Linked DNA regions of Coturnix japonica. The protein of the gene in region 1 binds, or shares a complex with, the protein of each later gene. Links are inferred from orthologs where the notes say so. Each region holds a gene or a part of one and is shown in the gene's direction. Other genes may lie near its edges.

Region 1 (8,405 bases):
AGACTTGCAGCTGTTATTAGGCATACCAGAATAAGGAAACGTGGGTCTCTGTGATCTCTAGGCTGTGCCTCAGACTGAGGGTTCATTTCTTTTATTTTCCCTACCAAGGCATGCCACGTGTGTTAGCAGAGCAGCCTTGATATCCGAGATGTGGTGTGAATACAGCTCATCTGGACTAAACACCCAACTAGTCCTGAAATTCAACCAAACGCAAGTCTGTGACACTGGCAGTCTGACCATGGCATGTCTGTGTTGTGCCATGCGAGGGCTTTGTTGCTGCCACAGCTTGTTACTTCCCAGCCAGTACTTCCTAGGCCTTCTGTGCCCAGGGGGAGGGGGTGCTGTTTGGTCTCTCCTTATCTCTTTGGATTCATTGTGCCTTGTGTGTGTGTGTGTTTCTAACCCTTTCTCTTGTTGCTGTCACTCCTCCTTTCTCCGCTGGCGCCATTTCTGTCCATCCCATCTCATTGGCTGCTGTAGCAATAGGTAAGAGACGCGTGGTAGGCCATGACTGGCATTGCAGTGGGCAGTCGTTGTGCTAGAGGAGCTTCACTGACCTGAAGCTTCTCCTGTAGCAAACACCAGTGTGACTGCTGGTTGTGGCACTAGTCCTAGTGGGTTAGGACTTGAGGCTGGGAGGGCTGCCACTCGGAGCAGGTGGAACTTTCCTTGAAAAGCTTACTGGAGGGGAGGAATGGGACTTCTAGGTGTTGTTTTACAGCAGGTTAACTACTTTCTTGTGGGGGAGAAAAAAAAACAACACCCAGATATTAATTTAAATCAAATTTACAAGCCTTCTGGAGCTGTTAAGCCTGGGAAGTGTTTGAATGCCAGAGTTTTGTTTATGAGGGAGGGTGTTCACTGAAGAGGCTTCTGCTAGGAAAGAATACCTGCTATGATAACGTGTTCCTCTGAATGTCCTTTGTTATTAAACTTGGAACTGGCTGCTGGACTGTTATGAGCATTTGCATGTATCCTTGCTTGCAAGGATGTTACTGCTATCTGCTCTCAGGCATGGTGTACATAATTGGTACCATGCCATTGACACTGCAGAGAGGAGAGCCCCTGTTGTTCTATGTGAAGGGTATGAGTAATAAAGCACTAGATGTGTCTTGGCTTGGTATGTGGACTGCTGCTTTTAAGTCTGTCCTGTTATATGAAGCCTTCAGACTTCCTTCCAATGTTCTTAAAATCAGTGGATTTTGACTTAACTTGAGGAGCTTATCCTCTCTTGTAGCTACAGGATGAAAGAACTCTATAGTGTGGGAAGGCTGACATCCAGAATATGATGCAGAGATCTATGCTTAGCTAGGACTGATTTGTTCCCTTTCAGTAGTGTATAGTGAAACTAGCTTGGTTTAACAATGTTAGTAGCTAGGAGAAGCTTGCACAGCACCTTTTCTGCACTGTGCTGGGCTCCTTTCCCATCATAAATGGTACTGGATCATCCAGTGCACATAGTGCATTGCTGCAAGAGACCTGCTCGGAAGCATAGCAGGCTGGAAGGGACACGTAACTGGAAAGTCAGAAATGTTCCTAATCCTGCTTGCTGCTTTCAGCCCGCCCTCCATGGTACCTGGGATGTGGAGGTGAGATGAATCTGGGAATTAAAACTGCCCTTTGTGGTGTGTGCACACGCACTGACATCTGTCAGGTGTCCTGGGCAGGTTTCCTGTTTATCTTTTAACTTGGAGGTATATCTGGGGGAACTGCCATATCAGGGGAGACTACGGCTTTGTTTTGGGACAAGAGTATGAAGGCCTTGGCATGTAGATTAGATAATAAATAGTCCAGTCAAAACCAGACTCTTCTTTGAGCCACAGCCTTTTTTAGTGTTCATTCCTGGCTATGGTAATCAATCAGCAAAATAAGTAGAAGGAATGTTTTCTCTACCATCTGATTCCAGGTGGAAGTCGGCTTTTCTTTCTGCCTGCAATTAGAATTGTCATACAAAACTGCAGAGACCAATAACTTAATTTCCTTGAGTTTTATACAGGATTTTAATATCAAAGTCTGCTCAGAGCCTTCATTTGTCCCTCTTGGCTGTGACATCCCCAGGCACTTATCCTAAGTAAGCTGGGTACGTGTAGTTCAATGTCTGACTGTAATCACGTAAGCAGAACTGTGCAGCCAACCTGTTTTTGTGCACATGGTGGTAACTTCTCTTTGGTCTTGTAGGCGGAATGCTGTGGATGCCTTCCGCGTCAATGTCATCCATGCACGGCAGCAGGTCCGCTCGCCTGTCACCAACATCGCCCGCACAAGTTTCTTCCATGTCAAGCGTTCCAACATCTGGCTGGCTGCTGTCACCAAGCAGAATGTCAACGCTGCCATGGTATTTGAGTTTCTTTACAAGATGTGTGACGTGATGACTGCTTACTTCGGAAAGATCAGTGAAGAAAACATAAAGAACAACTTTGTGCTGATCTATGAGCTGCTGGATGGTGAGATGTTTCCCTTCAGCCTGCTGTATGATTTCGCATTTGGTTGTTCTGTAATCCTTTCCTTACCATAGTTGTTAACGTGGTTGGCATGTCTCTGTTGCACTCCTGGCTTGTGGCTCTGTGCTAATTGTCTTCTACTCTCCTGTAGAAATCCTGGATTTTGGCTATCCTCAGAACTCTGAAACAGGGGCCCTGAAGACCTTCATCACTCAGCAAGGCATCAAGAGTCAGGTAACCAGAGGGATTTTGGCGTACAGCATTGCTCTGCTGGCTAATTTTCTGTAAGCTTGTTCAAGAAAGTGCAGTTAATTACCCAGCTAACTGTTTGACCTGTACTGGGTGGAGGTACCAGAGTAACTTAAGAATACCCTGGCAGTAATGTAGCTCACTGGCATCTTATTCCAGGAGTTCGTTTGACTTCATGCTCCCTGGCACCTGAGTAGTTGTGAGAGGAAGGGCCCTGTGTTAGGAGGGTAGTGACAGTTCCTTGCTTGTAAGTGATTACTGCCTTCAGGTACTGATCTGTGTCACCTTCCAACAAAGACTAAACACATCTGCCTACTGAACCAGAAATAGCTGTCCTGTGTGTGAATCTCACTGAGCAGATCTGCTCTCTGCAAGTCTTTGCTTCTTTTTAGCTATCAGGCTTTGTGCCTGGCTTTGAAATGAAGTATTATTCACCCTTCCGGTTCTTGCTGGCAGTCAGGAAACTGATGTTACTGTGTTGCTGCAGATGCATCTTTACAGTCTGGGATCTCTCATGTTAGAGGTGAGGTTCTCTGGCACAACAGTAACTCTTGCAATGAAGTATATGTGGGATTGGAGGATAAATTGCTCCTGAGGAGAAAAAGACAGAAGTTGGAAGGTTTGAGGGAATGTTTTTCAAACTAGCTCTATCTTATTGCTGCTGGTTACTCCTCAAAACTAGGTTTGTCATCCCAACTCATGCTCAACCTCTGTAAAACAAAAGGGCTGCTGCAGTTACTGTTTCTTGTGTTCCTGGGGCATATTGTTCTAATAAAGCGATGCAACTCGTTATGAGGACTCAGCCTAACACTTAATTCTATCATCTATTTAGTAAGTGAGTCAAGGAGAAGCTGGAAGTCAGCTTATACTAAAGCTGTCTGCAGAGTAGATCTGTATGAAATTTCAGACTCAAGATGTAAGCAGAAATGAAGTATTCAGTAGGAGACTGCCTGGTGACTGTTAAGGATAAGCAGAGTTCGGAGTCCCTGGAGGCTCTATTTTAGCTTATTTCATTAGCACTGACTTCCTAAAAAGTCCTTTTAATCATCTAGTAGCAACACTAGCAGTACCTCAAGAAAAGAAACTGAGGGGAAAAGGGTGGTAACAGCAGTGGAACAGGTTGCCCAACGAGGTTGTGGATGTCCCATCCCTAGATGCGTTCAAGGCCTGGCTGGATGTGGCTCTGGGCAGCCTGGTCTGGTTGTTGGTGAGCCCTCACATAGCGGGGGGGTTGAAACTGGATGATCATTGTGATCCTTTTTGACACAGGCCGTTTTTATTTATTTATTTTTTAAAGAGGGAGAAAAGCTGCCTCTGAGCAGCATATATTCTGCTAGAACAGCAGTGTTTTGCAAGAGGGCACGTGTATCAGTAGCCAGATGTGAGTACATCCGGTCTCAATCTTCCATCCAGAGCCCTGGTGTAAATCTGTTTGGCTTTCTGCAGTCTGACATTTTGGGCAGTCAGCACTCAAGGCAGCTGAGTCAGCTCCTGTTCCTAGGAAAGCTCCACCACCCTCATTTCCTTCCCTATTTATTTTGCTTTCGTCTGTTTTAACGAACTCTCGTGCTGTTTGTGTGCACGTTACTGCCACGGCATCTTACCTTGTTCAAGAATAGGCTTAGTCTTTCCCTTTTAAAGAGGAGTTCTGATCTACAGCTTTTGCTAAGCAACAGCCCACAGTTATCTGCTCTGTTCTGTGCATCCCAGTCCAAAAAGAGCAGCAGCAATCCTTTCCAGACATAGTATTTCAGGGGGAGCAATGGAAACGGAATTTTCCATGTTTCCATGTCTGCTATTTACTCTGGCACGTCGAGCCTCAAATTCCTCTTTCACATACAGCCAATTTCTGACAGATAAGTGGGGCTAAAATCTGGGACTGGATCATCTGTTATCCATGCTCCCTTATCTCTGCTTAGTTCGTGATGGTGTTTTCCTTGGGCTGTGTCCTACTGACTTAAAGGAACAAAATCTGCCTTTATGGCAGAATTCCTAAGCTCAGCTTTTTTTCCTTTTCAATGAAGAACTGAATACTCCACCTTTTGTGGTTACAGTGGTTCTTTCCAGGGCTGGTGGTCATTTTGTACTGCACAGAATACTTACCTAGGCAGCTCCCAGTGGAGTGTAAAACTCTCCCATGTCAGTATTCTGATAATGGTTCTGTTTGCTCAAGGAGTGACCAGTTCTGGCAAGAACAAAGCCAACACTGGTTTTAAATTGTGATCCTGTACTGCCACCCTGTGGGCCCAGTGCAAGGCTGCTGGGGAAGGACCCACCTTGCCATTCTGCTCCACTCTGGTGGAAGAGGCAGGATAAACGAGGACACAACTTCTTACAGGACTGGGTTTTATTAAGATGCCTGCAGCCCTGGGTACCTCAGATTAGGCATCTGTGCTGTAGTAAACATCCACACCTTGCTTTAGGAATGGCAACTTAAGGAGTTAACAACTGGGAGTGGTATTTGGTTTGTTTCCGCTGTCCTACCTTGTGCTGGGGTGGTGTATCATGGGCTGTGTCTGAAAAGACTTTTCACTGCTAGGGAGGTGTGCTGTGCTTTCTAAGCTAAAGGTTAAACCTCCTTGCCTTGTTTGTGCAGACTTAGTACCTAGTTAGCAATGAGCTGGCCTGCTTTGTTCCTGTCCTGAGGTAGCCTTAAGCCTAACCTGCCTCTTTCTCCCTTCCTCCTTTTTCTTGCTATTGACCTGCTTGCCTGTCTAACCCTGTGTACACCACACTTGCTGCTATACATCTACTTCTTCACTTTCTGCGTGTGATTGGACCCCGTCTATAGCATCAGGTAGGAAACCTGCTGGTGCCTCTCAACACAGTCCTTAAAGCTCATAGGAGGCTTAAAGCAGATACTGTTAGTTGTGAGATTAGTGCTGGAGTGCAACCATTGTCCAGAATGGCATGATAATGACTGCAGTCATTAAGAAACAGTTGTTACCAGCTGCCTCATGGTCCTAGGGTCTTACATTGGATAAAGGTACAAACTGCCCTGTCTCTCTTAAACACAGATTGATGCATTGGATGTGGTTTGAGTGTCATCAGTTTAGCCCAGTCCTCGCACCAAAATGAGGACTAATGTGCAACTAACAAAATGGAAGCAGCTTTCCTGTTGTCTCTGTGACTAATGTTTAGTGTCGAATTCCCTTGGCTGAGGAAGGATTGCTATTGTGACACTATCAGCTGTGTGACAGCACTTAAAATCTTAATTATCAAAAGTGTTTGTGTGCTGTAAATGGCAAGTACTTTCTTTTTCGTTTAAAGTAAGCTTTCTTAGTGCTTCAGTTTATCTAGAGACTTAAGATGTGATTCTTTCCCTTTAGACTAAGGAAGAGCAGTCCCAGATCACCAGCCAGGTGACTGGGCAGATTGGGTGGAGACGTGAAGGGATCAAATACCGTCGCAATGAACTCTTCCTTGATGTGCTGGAGAGTGTGAATCTCTTGATGTCCCCCCAAGGTAAGTGGGAGCTATTAAGCTGTCACCATTTTTTTTTTTTCCAGGTAATAGTTGAATGCTTAAGTATTCAGAACTGTGCTCTTTTCCACTCCAGGTCAGGTTTTGAGTGCCCATGTGTCTGGCAGAGTGGTGATGAAGAGTTATCTGAGTGGAATGCCAGAGTGCAAGTTTGGCATGAATGACAAGATTGTCATTGAAAAACAGGGCAAAGGGACTGCGGATGAAACGGGGAAGAGGTAAGAGGCATATGGTAAAGGGTATGTGCTACCAGAGACTCTTATGAGAGGGCAGTGCTTGGTAGCTTTTCTGATCTGACGGAAGCAACTTACCTTTTTTCCCCCTTCAGTTCTCACTGCTGTTTTTTCTCTGGATAGGTCTGTTGCTGTGTGAGCTACTAAACTTAGGACTTCAGTTAAGAAGGCTGTTCTATAGCAGAACTAGTGTGAGCAAGTGGAATGACTTGCGTGTCTTGGGTGACTGACTTCATGTCTGTACAGCAGCAGGTGTCTGGAGCAGTGGGTGCTCTGGGCTGTCATATTTAAAATTCAAGCATAATGATGAGCGTGGGGTCTTTGTACCTGGGAACATTTTCTCAAGGTGGATTCTGCCAGAGCTTCTCTTTAGCAGTTCTAGTCAGTACAGAATCTCTTAGAGGTTGTAGTCAGCCTTCCCAAGGAGCAGTGAAGGAACCCCTCTGTAACCTCTTCCACCCAGATTGCTTTTTATAAATCAGAACAGCAGACAAGCTGCTATGTAAGCCCCTACTGCTGTCACACAGGTGGCTGTGTGGTCTGGAGGCTCGTCCCTTCTGGGAGACCAGCTGCCTTCCAAATATGCCTCAGTCAGTATGAACCTTTAGAGCTGTGGATGGGTCTTATGCCTTCTTCCCAAGCAGGCAGGCAGGAAAAGAGGGGGAAAAAAAGGGACTGCCACTTTTCTCCCACTAACCGGTTTTGACTGAGCTGTGTTTCTTTTCTTTTGTCTTTTTGTTCGTGGTGGTGTTGTTTTGTTTTGTTGTTTGTTGGTTTTCTTTGCTGACCCCCCCAGTGAATTGGGAAGGTAGATAATCTGCTTCAACTGTGTGCGCTCTGCTCTTCTCCCTGTCTCTTGCTTTGTGTGATTTGTGCATGTAACTCAGACCTCAGACACTTTCCTAGATGGTTCCTGTAAACAGAGCTGAGCTGCTATTTGCCTTTTATCTCAGAACCAAGCCAAGAGCTATCACTTCACTGTCACCTTTAAGCTGTGTTTCTTGTAACCAAATCTAGTTAATAAGAAAATGGATTAGCCTCAAGTGGGTGGGGGAATACGCTAGGTGAAATATCTGGGTAGGCCTCTGAAGAGTCAGCAACACTGCCCAGAGTTCCTGTACTGTGAATGCTTTCACCTGTAAGTGTGCTATTATCTTGAGTTACAGAAGCAGAACAGACAGGGATTCTTGGTGGTTCTGCTCACTCGTGGTCCTCCAGCAGGCAAGAGGCAGGAGAATCACTGTCTGGAAGCATTTAGCACAGGTGACCTAAAGGAGCAGCTGCTGCCAGTTGCTTTTTGGCTTCTAGCCATGTGGCAGTGTCAGATCCTGAGTAATGCTGCCCAAGACCTGGGCTAGTGCTGGGCAGCACAGCTTTCCCTACAGCATCATAAAGAAACCAAGGAACTTGACATTCGTCTGAGCAACAGATCAGGAATAGCTGACTCCCACTTGTGAAGCACAAGCTATGCCAATGGCTGGTGTAAACTGACAGCCTGGGATAAGCCTGCTTCTCATTTGTGCAGGTAGAGGTGGCTCTTAGGGCAGCTGAACCTCCCTGTTATGTGTACTGTCTCTGAACATCGGCATGGTCACCCTGTTGCTCGTAGCAGTGGAGGCAGCTTAGATATCACAGCGCTATGTTATGTGGCGTCCCCCACATCAAGGTGCACTCATCCTTTCCCAGCCAAGGGGAGGGAGATTAAGGATAGTGGTGGCCCACTGAATCATTCAGGATACTGCATAAGGCATTCTCAGACTCAGAAATGAAAAAGGAGCGAGGGCGTGTCGAATCACATTATATGTATATTAGTTGCAACTTAGTTGCTATTTTCATTGTCCCTGGCCTAAAAAAACGCCAGGCGGCGACATTACTCCATCAAATTTCAAACACATCCACCTTCAAAACTGGAAAGCTGTATCGCTCCCAGTTCCATATGCACGTCACTCACGGCACATACGACTACGAAGTGACGCCATTGTCACATTGGATAAAGGCA
Region 2 (10,917 bases), on another chromosome or scaffold:
AAAAATCTTGATTCTGAGTAGTTACACAATTTGCCAAATGCTTATCAGCATGTTTAAGACTGAAGTTGCCCCTCAGATCTAAGTCAAAACTCTTGTGTAACAGCACTTTTTTTTACTCATGGCATGATTATTGCTGTGGGTTTTCATACCTTTGTGATAATAACATGAGCGTTGTGACTGTCTGGGAGCTGCCAACATATCCCAAAGCTGTGTTCTGCTGGAGCTGTGCAAACAAGGAACAAGTAGATATCAGATATTGTTCACCTAGCTGGCTTCAGCCCCTTGATTTTGGAAGGCTGGAAAGGTAGGAAAAAGAAGACAGAAGAAACTATATTCCTGTAAAGGTGATAACAGAAGATGGTTTAAAGGTGGCTAATATAAAGATATCGACCAAGATGGTGATAAATAGTCAAAGGTTATTAGTAAAGAAAACTCACCAATGTTGATGCCTGGACCAGATAGCTGAGGCAGACTCAGCTGGGGATCAATCTCCAAGAGATGCTGCCTCAGTGGTGGTCAGCCCTTAAATGAGGTCTCAGAGGGGGTGGAATCGAAGTCCACCCCTCCCAGGAGCACAGCTAGATTACTCTCACCTGTGCTCCTGCAGCTGACCCAACACTTGCCTCAGCTAATTAATCAGTGGTTCAAGCTGTGATTTCCCATACAATTCCCTTTTGTGTTCTCTAGCTTTGTATCATTACATTCATCAGCTGCACAGATCTTCACTTGTTTTTTTGCAGGTTTGCAAGGCACTATAAGCTTCCAGATGGGAGCGAGCGGAGAACCCTTTTCAAAGCCTACGGAATACGGTTTGATGTCCTTGTGTTTGGCATGGTAAGCGCGACTGTTGATCCTTCTGAAGGGAAGAGAGAAGGAAATTTGCTATTTCTTTAGTCCTGCTTCTGCCATTTATCCCTTTCTTCTGTCCATCACTCTGGGATGGAAGTCATGTCATGAGTTGATCTAAACTCAGCTGGGCAGCGTAATGAGCAAAGTTTAGGAGGAAACAGCAGAGTTAAGAGAGAAGCAGGATTGTTGTTCAGACTGAAAGCATAACAAGGTTTCTTGCCTGACACAAACCCTGCATGTCACCACCGTTTCCTTCTCAAATTATTTATTTTTCCCTGCAAAGTGCCTGTGATGGTCTGTGAAATCCTGAGACTGAATGGATGAATCACTGCAAAGGGGCAAAACCAGAAATGCCATTACTCTGAGTGAATGGTCAGAAATCTTCCTTCCCAATCATTATTTTCTGCTTCCCTTAGGGTGGAAAATTTAATCTCGTTGAACTCTTTACATTCATTGGATCCATGATCACCTATTTTGGTTTGGTGAGAGATTTATTTTTTCACATATCTTGAACTAGTTCTGGGGATAGAGTCTCATTAAGAAAGTGGAATCACGGCTTGCTTTTCTTTCATGTGCAGGCTGTGACCGCTATAGAAAAGTGTTTTTCTTTCTACAATTGCTGCAGCTGCTGCAAAATACCCTTCTGTGAAAATGTAATCAGGAAGAAGTATGAGACTGTGCTGATGCCAGAACAGGTAAGGAATGCAAATTGTTCATTCCTCCTTCATTGCTGGGCTTTGTTCTGCAGCAGCCTGCAGCTGTGGCTTGAGGAGATCAGGGAGTTTTGTGAGAGGGACTGCAGGATCCAGCACAATAAGGAACAGGCAAAGACAACTGCCTCATCCTTTTCATGCCAGAGGAAAGCTGAGCACTGCTTACACACAAAGCCTGGGCATAGCAGAGCCCCACCAGGAAATCGTGACCCTTCACAGAAAGGTGCTGCGAAAAGGTTGTTCATTCAGAGGTCATTGCTCAAAGCCTCTTCCCTGCCAACCTCTTCCTCTTTCTCAAGACATTTATGGCTGTTTCACTGGGCTGTATCTGCTAATCCCCCAGCATGCTAGACATGCCTTTTAAAGAAAGGCATAGAGGAACTCTCCACACAAGGACTCTTCACAAGCACACTCTTACAGTTAGTTTTGCACTGCCTCTTGCCATTACTTCTGTCAGGCCCCACTGCTGTCCACATCCTTGCTATAACACATACTGGAAATCTCTAGTCTTGCTGCATGCAATTTCAGTTGTTGGAGTACAGACTGCAGAAAGAAGATCCCATGGTGAGATCTCTGTTCCGTCTCCGGTTCTCTAAGTAACTACTTGAGCTGACAGTGCTGATTTCTTCTGCTTCACAGGTGGTGTTTGTGTCCTATGTCGATCAGCCACACATTACTTTGATAAAGATGCCTCTGAAAACAAGCTTGCAGGATGCTAAGGACAGCGTTTTTGAGGTAGATGCAGACACTTAATGTTTGAGATTCCCTCCTTGAAGGAGGAAACTGAGGAATGTCATCTCAAACTGATTTGGATTTCTCCCTCCCTGTATTTAAGATTAAACCTCAAGCAACTGAAAATAGATTCATATTCCCCCTTCAATTTAGTAAGTCCTGTGACCAGAGGATGCATGTTTAGAGTCAGCTAAAAGCTGCTGTTTTCCTGTGGTGGGCATGTGCTAGTGGGAGTGTGTTGGTGTTGAAACATCTTCTAAGGAGTCGATTTGATTTTGCTGTGGTGGGTGTTGGCAACACAGAAAGACAATCCTCCTCCAGACCTGCTGATCTATCGTCATTGTGCCTATTGTGCTGTGTCAAATGAAGCACCACATGTTGAGGGTCACTACTGTAAATTCTCTCTGCAGGTGGTGTGAAGCAGCAGCAAATGTTCTATTCTCATTTATTTGGGGAATTGTTTTCCAGAACTGCCCTGTGAAATTCAATGATCCTCGCACCTGCTGCACCCGTGAGTCCAACATGAACCACAGCACTGGACAGTTCGAGCTCAGGATGCTCACACAAAACATTGTCTGCCCCCAATGGTGCTGCTGCGGCCAATGCCAGGAGATGCCGAATTACCACGAGCAGCTCTGCTGCCGAAAAGAAGCGGGGCAGTGCATCACAACCACCTATTGGTTTACACAGCTGGTGCTGTCCAGAGACACTCTGAACAAAGCCCTTCTCTATGAAGATCCCTTTCTGGACCTGACAGGTCACAATTCCAACAGCCAGCTGCGTCGTATTGCTTACAAGCAGTACATTCACTGGCGCTTTGGCTCTTTTGAGATGCAGGACAGAGCCATCATCCCGAGCTGCTGCAGGAGGCTGATTAGAAATACTTATCCCAAAGCTAACGGCAACTATAATGGTTTTGATTTGGAATGAGGATGCAGCTTACCTTGGCTCATACTGTGGATTTTTAACCTATTTCTTTTATGTACCTATAGAAGAAGAAAAAGCATATAGAATTGTAAAATCATAGAATCATAAAATTGATGTTATAGAATATTACTTTCCAAGATCTGTTATGCAGCTGAATTCTTGTGTGCTGTCATTGGAGAGGGTCCATTATTGCCTACTGCTTGGCTTAGACATGCGTCTTGAGCTCAAGTGCTTTCTTCTGATTTGGTTTGGAATTGCAGCCTCTGGGGTGAACTCTTAGTGCTATGTTTTAATGAGAAGTTCCAGCCCTTTGCCTTTGCTTTGGTGTGTATCGAAGTTCCAGATGTATCAGGAGATGATCAACACCCTAAAGATAAGGTAGAGTTAAGGATCTTCTCAAGGCATCATCCCTGAAAGAAGCCCAAGAGATACCACTTGAAAATGTCATCCAATGCATTTCTATCCCCTCGCCTCACCACCATGGATCACAGTTAATAGAAGACACTGTGCTTGTATATTTGCAACCCACTGTTAAAGGCCTCACAGTCCATCCAGATTAAACAGGCTTACTTTAGATTTCAGTGACACAAAGCATTTTCTGCAAATCCCAGCTGTTCTTGTTTAAATCGGGAATTACAATGTAAAATACTTACATCATCTCTGTGTAACATTTTCAGGCATTTCATTCACATTCATTGAATTTTAACACTAAGCCTTTGGCCTCCTGTTTGCTCTTAGCTTCAAGCAGGCACAGCCTCCTACACCTCCTCCTATGGAACCCAGCACAGCACAGGTTGCTTTTTGCTTCGATGCATAAGGCCACATCACAGCCCAGGAGCACCACATTCAGGGTGGCTTCACTGATGCTCCAACATCTTTCCAGTTCTTTCTTTCTGCTGCCTTTGGACATGTTCTGTTCTTGTAGAAATGAGGTGAGGTGGATTACCATGTCTATTATTTCGCACCCCTCTCAACTGAGCTTCTTTCTGAGCTACACCAGCGGTTTGCCATTTCAATTTCCCACATGTGTTTGAAAATGAATTGCCTGTAGATGATGCAAGCCTCAGTTGTGTCTTCAGCTGTAACATACATTCATTGCGCCCGTGTTCACATTGCATCGTTTCTTATATCTCAAGTGGAAACAGGTTGCAGTTAGCATTAACAGCCCTGTTCTGACACATGCACTGCCTTTTTCCTTTTGGAAGAATTACACTTATAGAAGTTGGACAAGACACCAAAGCTGACCCAGATACGCCCACCAAGCCCAACCCCGCCATGCCCACCACCCACACCCCTCAGTGCCCAACCCCCACGGCTCCTTAGCACCTCTGGGTGCTAACACACCTCCCAGCGCAGCCCATTCCAACGCCTGACCACTCTTTAGAAGAATTTCCCCCTATTCCCGATCTGACTCTGCCCTGGCTCTCCAACCAGGCAGCGGGCAGCGCCGGGGCGTGCACTGAGCGTGGGCAGCGCCCGAGCGCTTCGCCACGATCCGCGGGGCTGCGGCACCGCTGCGGGTGATCCCGGCTCCCGCTGCCCGTTCGTGCCGCCGGTCGGTGCTGCTGCTCCGTTGGCCGCCCCTCCCCGGCCGCCGCCATGGCTGCGTGCGGTGAGGCTGTGCGCGGCTTCCTCTTCGAGTACGACACCCCCCGCATCGTGCTGATCCGCAGCCGCAAAGTCGGGCTCATCAACCGCGCCGTGCAGCTCGGCATCCTCGCCTACGTGATCGGGTGAGCGACAGGGGAGCTCGGGTGGGGGCTGTGCGGGAGGGAGGGTCGCTCCCGGTGATGGGCGGAGGGTGCAAAAAGTTGGGAGCGGGGTTGTTGGTTTTCTTTCCCTTCCCAGCTCACGGGGACAAAGGTTGTGCTGTGTGTGCCTGACACGGCGCCCTTGTGTGCTGCCGGCTTGGTTTGGATTGCTCCAGCCCATAAAGGTTGGATATTAGGAAGGATTTGTTCTCCCCGGCGGCGGTGAAGAGCCGTGGGGATGTGGCACCGAGGGACATGGCCAGCAGGGATGGTTTGGGGCCGAGCTTGGTGGGCTTAGTGGTTCTTTTTCAGCCGTTGTGGTTCTGATCCTAAAAATAACGTATGAAATATCCATATAAGCCATGAAAGTTAACCTGATTTCCAGCTGTCCTGAAACGATCCACAATGGACAGACAGCACGTGTGCTCACAGCTTTTGCAGTAAATACCCTTCAAATTTGATTACTTCACCAAAGGGCCTGACCCACCTCGACTGCAGTGAGGACCATCCAGGCTGCACTGAGCTGAACTGTTGTTTTCCTGGGGGTTGCTGGAGAGCATCACAGCTCCTTTCTGAACCCATCTTCACCTGGTGGGGCTGGGAGGATTTATATATCATTACACAGTAATGAAATGCTGCCAAATCGCTTGAGAAAGCCAGGAGGGAGCTTGCTGGTCCTGTGGCTTTTCACTATGAAGCTGTTTGGTCTCACCTTTGCAGGAGACAGGAATAAAAGGGGGAATTTCCCTGTGCTTGTTCGATGTGTTTAGCTGGGTTTTGTGATGTGGTTGGCTTTTTATTTGCTTTTCCTTGCAACTCTTATCTTGCAGCTGGGTCTTTCTGTGGGAGAAGGGCTACCAGGAGACGGATTCTGTGGTCAGTTCTGTTACCACGAAGGTGAAAGGAGTAACAATGACAAACACGTCCACGTTGGGAACCAGGATCTGGGATGTAGCTGACTATGTCATCCCTCCCCAGGTATGAATCACTTTCACATGCAGAGGATGGGTTTTCTAACAAACAGTTACTGCTCTGCCAAAGTCCACCAAGGGCTGAAGTAGCGTTTGCTCCAACATGACCTTTATACAAGAGAATATAGCAAATAAAGCAAGTGAGCTTTGTTCCAGATCATGCTGATCACCTGCTGTTCCTCCACTGGTCCTTTTCAATAGAAGTGAGCACGTCTGTTTGCTCAGGAGGGAGAATTTGCACACTTCAGGAAGAAGCTGTGGCAGCAACCACGCATCCTCCCCTGAAGCAAACAATTCAAAGCTAATTTGGCGGCAGAAACCCTGGGAATAGCCTGACATTCATTTCAAATGGGAGGTGTTGCTGTGCTTACTGATTGCTGGTGTGTCTGCAGGAGCCTGTGCTGCGTGGGCAGTACCTGGCCTTCAGGGCTGGCAGGCAGGGCCAGGCTGCACGTCCTGGGTCACTGCGTGCATCAATTGAGGTGCAGAAAAAGCAACAGATTTAGCCAGATTTTGGCAGAGTGAGGATATTTGCATATTAGCAGAGCAGAAGCAAACAACAGATCCTTGAGTCATACAGATCTGAGTGTAATTGAAGCGGTATTCTCTGCAGAAACAAACCAGACTGGTCAAATGCACAGTAGATTAATTGTCTCAAAAAGTAAGAATGGGAGGTCTGCTCAGACTAGCAGCTGGATTTCTATTTCACTTCCTGCCTTGAAACTCCCCTCAGTAACTTCATACTGTAAATGAGGAAACTCCAGCCAAGCGTGAGGACAGAAAGAACTTTTTGTCCCATACTCCAGGATTAAGCGATTCCATGCGTGAACCTGCTCCTTTAGTGCTGCACCTGCACCATCCAAATCAAATCCCCTCTGCATGGCCACCTGAGCTCTGTTAGCAGAGACATTTGGAGGCGGTGCTTTGGATAGGTTTTGCAGATTGTCACTCTTACATTTCCTTCTTGTTTTGCATGCTCAGGAGAAGAACGCTGTGTTTATCATGACCAACATGATAGTCACACCAAACCAGCACCAAGGCCACTGCGCAGAGGTGTGTAAAGGATCCGCTTTAATCCTGCCCAGCGTGGCTGGGAGTGCAGGAGGAAGAGTTGGTTGAGTTTTGTTTAATTCCTGTTCCTGTCCAGCTTCCAGATGATAACACAGTGTGCAAGGACAACAGCAGCTGCGTTCCAGGATACGTCAGCATCCACAGCAATGGTAGGAAGCTTGCTGCAGGGGCTCCTTGCATTCTGTGCCATCGCTGCTTGGTTCCAATCCCTTGTGAAGGAAGCAGCATTTCATTGAGTCTCCTTGTTCTCATTCTTTCATACCTAAGAGAACTGAGAAGGAAGCTCATATTTTTCTTCTGGAAGAGACTGTGTTGGGTGAGAATTTGACTCAGAAAATAGTAATTTCTCTGTAATTGCATTATAATGGAAGATAGTGGGGGAACTGGGTACTGACACTTCTCCATAAGGCAAATACTGCCCTTTAGTTTGTTTGGGAGTACCTCCATCCACTTGTCTTTCCAGGTATCCAGACCGGGGCGTGCATACCATACAACAGAAGCATCAATACCTGTGAAGTTTTTGCGTGGTGCCCTGTGGAGGATGACTATCCCATACCCAAGTGAGAGCTGTCTTCCTACCCTCTCTTATTTCTCCTGATGGGAGGCCCACAATACACAGCCAGCCTGCCACAGCCAGTGTTTTTTCCTATGGGGTACTAGTGGGAGAAGCTGAAGAGGTTACAAATCAAAGGCCCTGCAGCATTAAAGACTTTGTGAAAATATAAATGGAACTTAATTATTTTTCCTATTGCTTTTCAGGCCAGCATTCTTGCAAGAAGCTGAGAACTTCACCATTCTGGTAAAGAACAACATTTGGTATTCCAAGTTCAACTTCACCAAGTAAGCAGCGTGTGAAGCTTTGCACTGCCCGGCCTCTCAGACAGTAAAGGAGAGCTGGAGAAACAAGAGGATGCAGCAGATCTCTCTGTTCCCTTGCAGGCGAAACATCCTCCCCACTTTCAGTTCCACTTATCTCAAGAACTGCATCTATGATGCCCAGACAGATCCCTTCTGTCCTATCTTTCGTCTGGGGAACATAGTTAAAGCTGCAGGGCAGAACTTCCAGGAAATGGCTGTGGAGGTACTTGGCAGAATCTCTTCTTGAGGCTCAGCTGTGTAGGGCAGACACCTCTCCACCTGGTGGCATGAGCCACAGGACATGGGATAGCTGCAGAATGGAGAGCTGCTCTGGCTGGAGGGAGCAGAATCAATTCTTAACAAGTAATTGGCCTTGGCTGGGGATAAGTGCAAGGCCCTCATGTAGGGAAAGAGGGTGGACTGGGCCCTGAGCCAGTAATTGGGGTTCTGGTCAGCCTGGGAGCCCTGTGCTAGACTGACTGGGCTCTTGGATCACTCGCCATCTCCTCCTCTTTGCTCTGCAGGGTGGGGTCATGGGGCTGCAGATCAACTGGGACTGCAACCTTGACAGAGCTGCTTCCCACTGTGTGCCTAAGTATTCCTTCCGGCGCCTGGACAACAAGGACTCTGCCAACACCATCTCACCTGGGTACAACTTCAGGTAACGTAGTGAGGAATGGACCCTGATGTCCCTATGGCTCAGTCTGCCATGGGTGCAGTGTTCCGGGCTGCTCCCTCTCCTCTGACTGTTGCAGGCAGTCCTTGGAGTTTCTCTGCTGCTGTAAATCTCACTTTGAGGCTTTCTCTGCTGCTATGAAATGTATGTAAACCACAACAAAAGAGGAAGTTCCGCTGATTGTGACTGTCTGAGTCACGTTTGCTTCAGCATGTAGGTGACCATGGGGCCAGCCTCCCACAGCACATCAGTGCAAGGAATGATTGCTTCGGGGTGTGCTGATATGGCAGAATTTGAGGGGGGTGGGAGCCAGAAGGGTCTCCTTCACTGTTCAAGGCAAGGGAAAAGCTGACCTTGGGAAAGCAGCTCTGTCAGTCAAGGATCTGATGTGCACCAAGAATATCTTTCTGGCATACCCCACCGTGCCAGCAGGTTTTGGGGTGTCAGACAAGGCAGGCTGGGTATCACAGGCCCCGAGGTGCTCTTGCAGATTCCAGGCCTCCCCTTACAGGCCCTTCCTCTTCTCTCCTTTTCTCTGCTTCCTCCTGGCATAACGAACCACGTGATGCAGTAAGTCTGATCTCACTTATTTGTTCTTACTCCTTTTCTGTATCATTTGCGTGCAAGTCATGTGGTGTGGGACCAGGAACTGCCTGTGTGTGCCAAGCTGAGCTGTGCTGCTTCTCTTGCTCCCTGCCCTCTCGTGGCTGCCTGCACTGCTGCAGCATCCTGCTTGTCTGAGGGGATGATTCTCATGAGCAGCTGAATTTCTTCCCACTATCCTGACTTGCTGCCCTCCCTATTGCTTTAGAGGTCTCCTGGTTTGTCTGCTACTAATTGTTGTCTTAAACTCATCTGTTCTTGGCTTTTCCCCTCCATGCGCTTGCTTGCATGTACAAACATTTAGCCCATCCTTTTGGGATGGGGAACACACCTGGATGTTGCATGAAAAGCATACAAGAAACCTCCAAGTTTCCAGCTGAGCTCTAACCTACCCTATTGTTCCAGGTTTGCAAAATACTACAAGGATAGTAGTGGCATTGAAACACGAACGCTTACCAAAACTTATGGCATCCGCATTGATATCATAGTGTTTGGAAAGGTAGGGCAGCTTCATTCCTCGAGGCTGTGGGCCGAGAGCTTTCAGAGATGCTGAAAAGCAGTCATCAACTCTCGTAACTGTCTTCCAGGCAGGCAAATTTGATGTAATTCCTACAATGATTAACATCGGCTCTGGCTTAGCGCTGTTTGGAGCGGTAAGTGACACTGTCTGCACTTGGACTGAACTTCGCACTAGCAGCTGAGTTCTGAGGATCGTTGTCTTGAACTCTTTCCATCTCCACTAGGCAACAGTGCTATGTGACATCATTGTCCTGTACTGCATGAAAAAGAGATACTTCTATCGGGAGAAGAAGTACAAATATGTGGAGGATTACGAAGTGGTAAGCACGAACAAAGGCAGAATGGAGGTAGGGTTGTTTCCTTCTCTGATTCTGAAGCAGGATGTACAGAGTCCATATCATACACAGACTTTGTACTGCAGCTGTGAGGAAACTGTCTTCCTTGGAGCAGTTCATTTTTACCTCAAAGCTGTTGGGAGAAGCACTAGAAACAATATTATGTTTCCTGGGCAACCACTCTTAAAGAGGGAAGCCTACATTCGAGAACTTAACACTCCCACTGCATCTCTCTTTGGGTTGCTGTCCTTGGCAGTTGCCTCCTGCATGCTGCAGTCAGCTCTGGCTCCATCAAATCCCCCCAAAGCCTCCAAAGGTTCCTTCTGCTGCAGCCACAGCTACACCAGCATCCAGGATCTGAACGACCCATTGAGCCAGTAGGAGGATTTAGCCCTGCTCTTGCCACTGGTGGGGCTGTTGCTTGACTATTGCTGAGGGCAGAACTGTGCTATGCAGCCCTGTGCTTGGTGGGATGCAATGCTGCAGAAGGAGCATTTCTGATCCAGAATGGCACTGTAAAATCTGAATCCAATAGCAGAGATTTCCTGTGCAGAGGGTTTTGTGTTGATAAAAGAGGGAGAAAGCAAAGTTTTCTGGCAGAGAAGTGTAACTTCTGATCCTTGCAGGGCACAAGTGAGACGTACGGAACAAACTCCTGACCTGCTGCTGCTGCACCAACTGGATGTGAAGGGACACTGTGAATGTTACTGTAACCCTGCTGTGAGAACTACCCCTCTCCTTTGGAAGGAAGGGGGAACAGAACCTAAGAAAGGGACCTTCTTCATTACTCATCACCTTTGGCTGGCCAGAACTGAAGAGGAGAACCAGATCTGCTCCTTGTCTGTTCTTTCCAGGTTAACTGCACCAAGCACATGCAGAGCCTTGTGGCCTCATACCAGACATCTGCACCAG

The links.
Region 2: the proteins of AP2M1 (region 1) and P2RX4 are in contact, whole or in part, in a crystal structure (PDB 2BP5), measured with the Rattus norvegicus proteins. The link is inferred for Coturnix japonica from reciprocal best matches to the Homo sapiens genes AP2M1 and P2RX4. Residues at the interface, in NP_446289.1 of Rattus norvegicus: Phe174, Leu175, Asp176, Lys203, Asn217, Leu316, Ala317, Gln318, Lys319, Glu391, Val392, Pro393, Lys400, Val401, Arg402, Tyr403, Leu404, Ile419, Lys420, Trp421, Val422, Arg423, Tyr424, Ile425; in NP_113782.2 of Rattus norvegicus: Val375, Glu376, Asp377, Tyr378, Glu379, Gln380, Gly381, Leu382, Ser383, Gly384.

The regions. Positions count from the first base shown.
Region 1 is NC_029524.1:13,837,290-13,845,694, forward strand, and holds part of AP2M1 (AP-2 complex subunit mu), read left to right. Parts: intron 1-480; coding exon 481-486; intron 487-2,178; coding exon 2,179-2,444; intron 2,445-2,592; coding exon 2,593-2,675; intron 2,676-5,481; coding exon 5,482-5,487; intron 5,488-6,019; coding exon 6,020-6,155; intron 6,156-6,249; coding exon 6,250-6,391; intron 6,392-7,202; coding exon 7,203-7,214; intron 7,215-8,405.
Region 2 is NC_029530.1:4,649,073-4,659,989, forward strand, and holds the start of P2RX4 (P2X purinoceptor 4), read left to right. Parts: upstream 1-4,566; 5' UTR 4,567-4,820; coding exon 4,821-4,954; intron 4,955-5,041; exon of another isoform or gene 5,042-5,157; intron 5,158-5,802; coding exon 5,803-5,950; intron 5,951-6,924; coding exon 6,925-6,996; intron 6,997-7,090; coding exon 7,091-7,163; intron 7,164-7,477; coding exon 7,478-7,574; intron 7,575-7,773; coding exon 7,774-7,854; intron 7,855-7,953; coding exon 7,954-8,095; intron 8,096-8,396; coding exon 8,397-8,533; intron 8,534-9,556; coding exon 9,557-9,650; intron 9,651-9,738; coding exon 9,739-9,804; intron 9,805-9,894; coding exon 9,895-10,017; intron 10,018-10,631; coding exon 10,632-10,664; 3' UTR 10,665-10,917. Other genes in the region: P2RX7 (P2X purinoceptor 7), read left to right, coding at 741-834, 1,266-1,331, 1,428-1,544, 2,202-2,297, 2,763-3,224. UniProt on the Homo sapiens protein: ATP-gated nonselective transmembrane cation channel permeable to potassium, sodium and calcium. CTP, but not GTP or UTP, functions as a weak affinity agonist for P2RX4.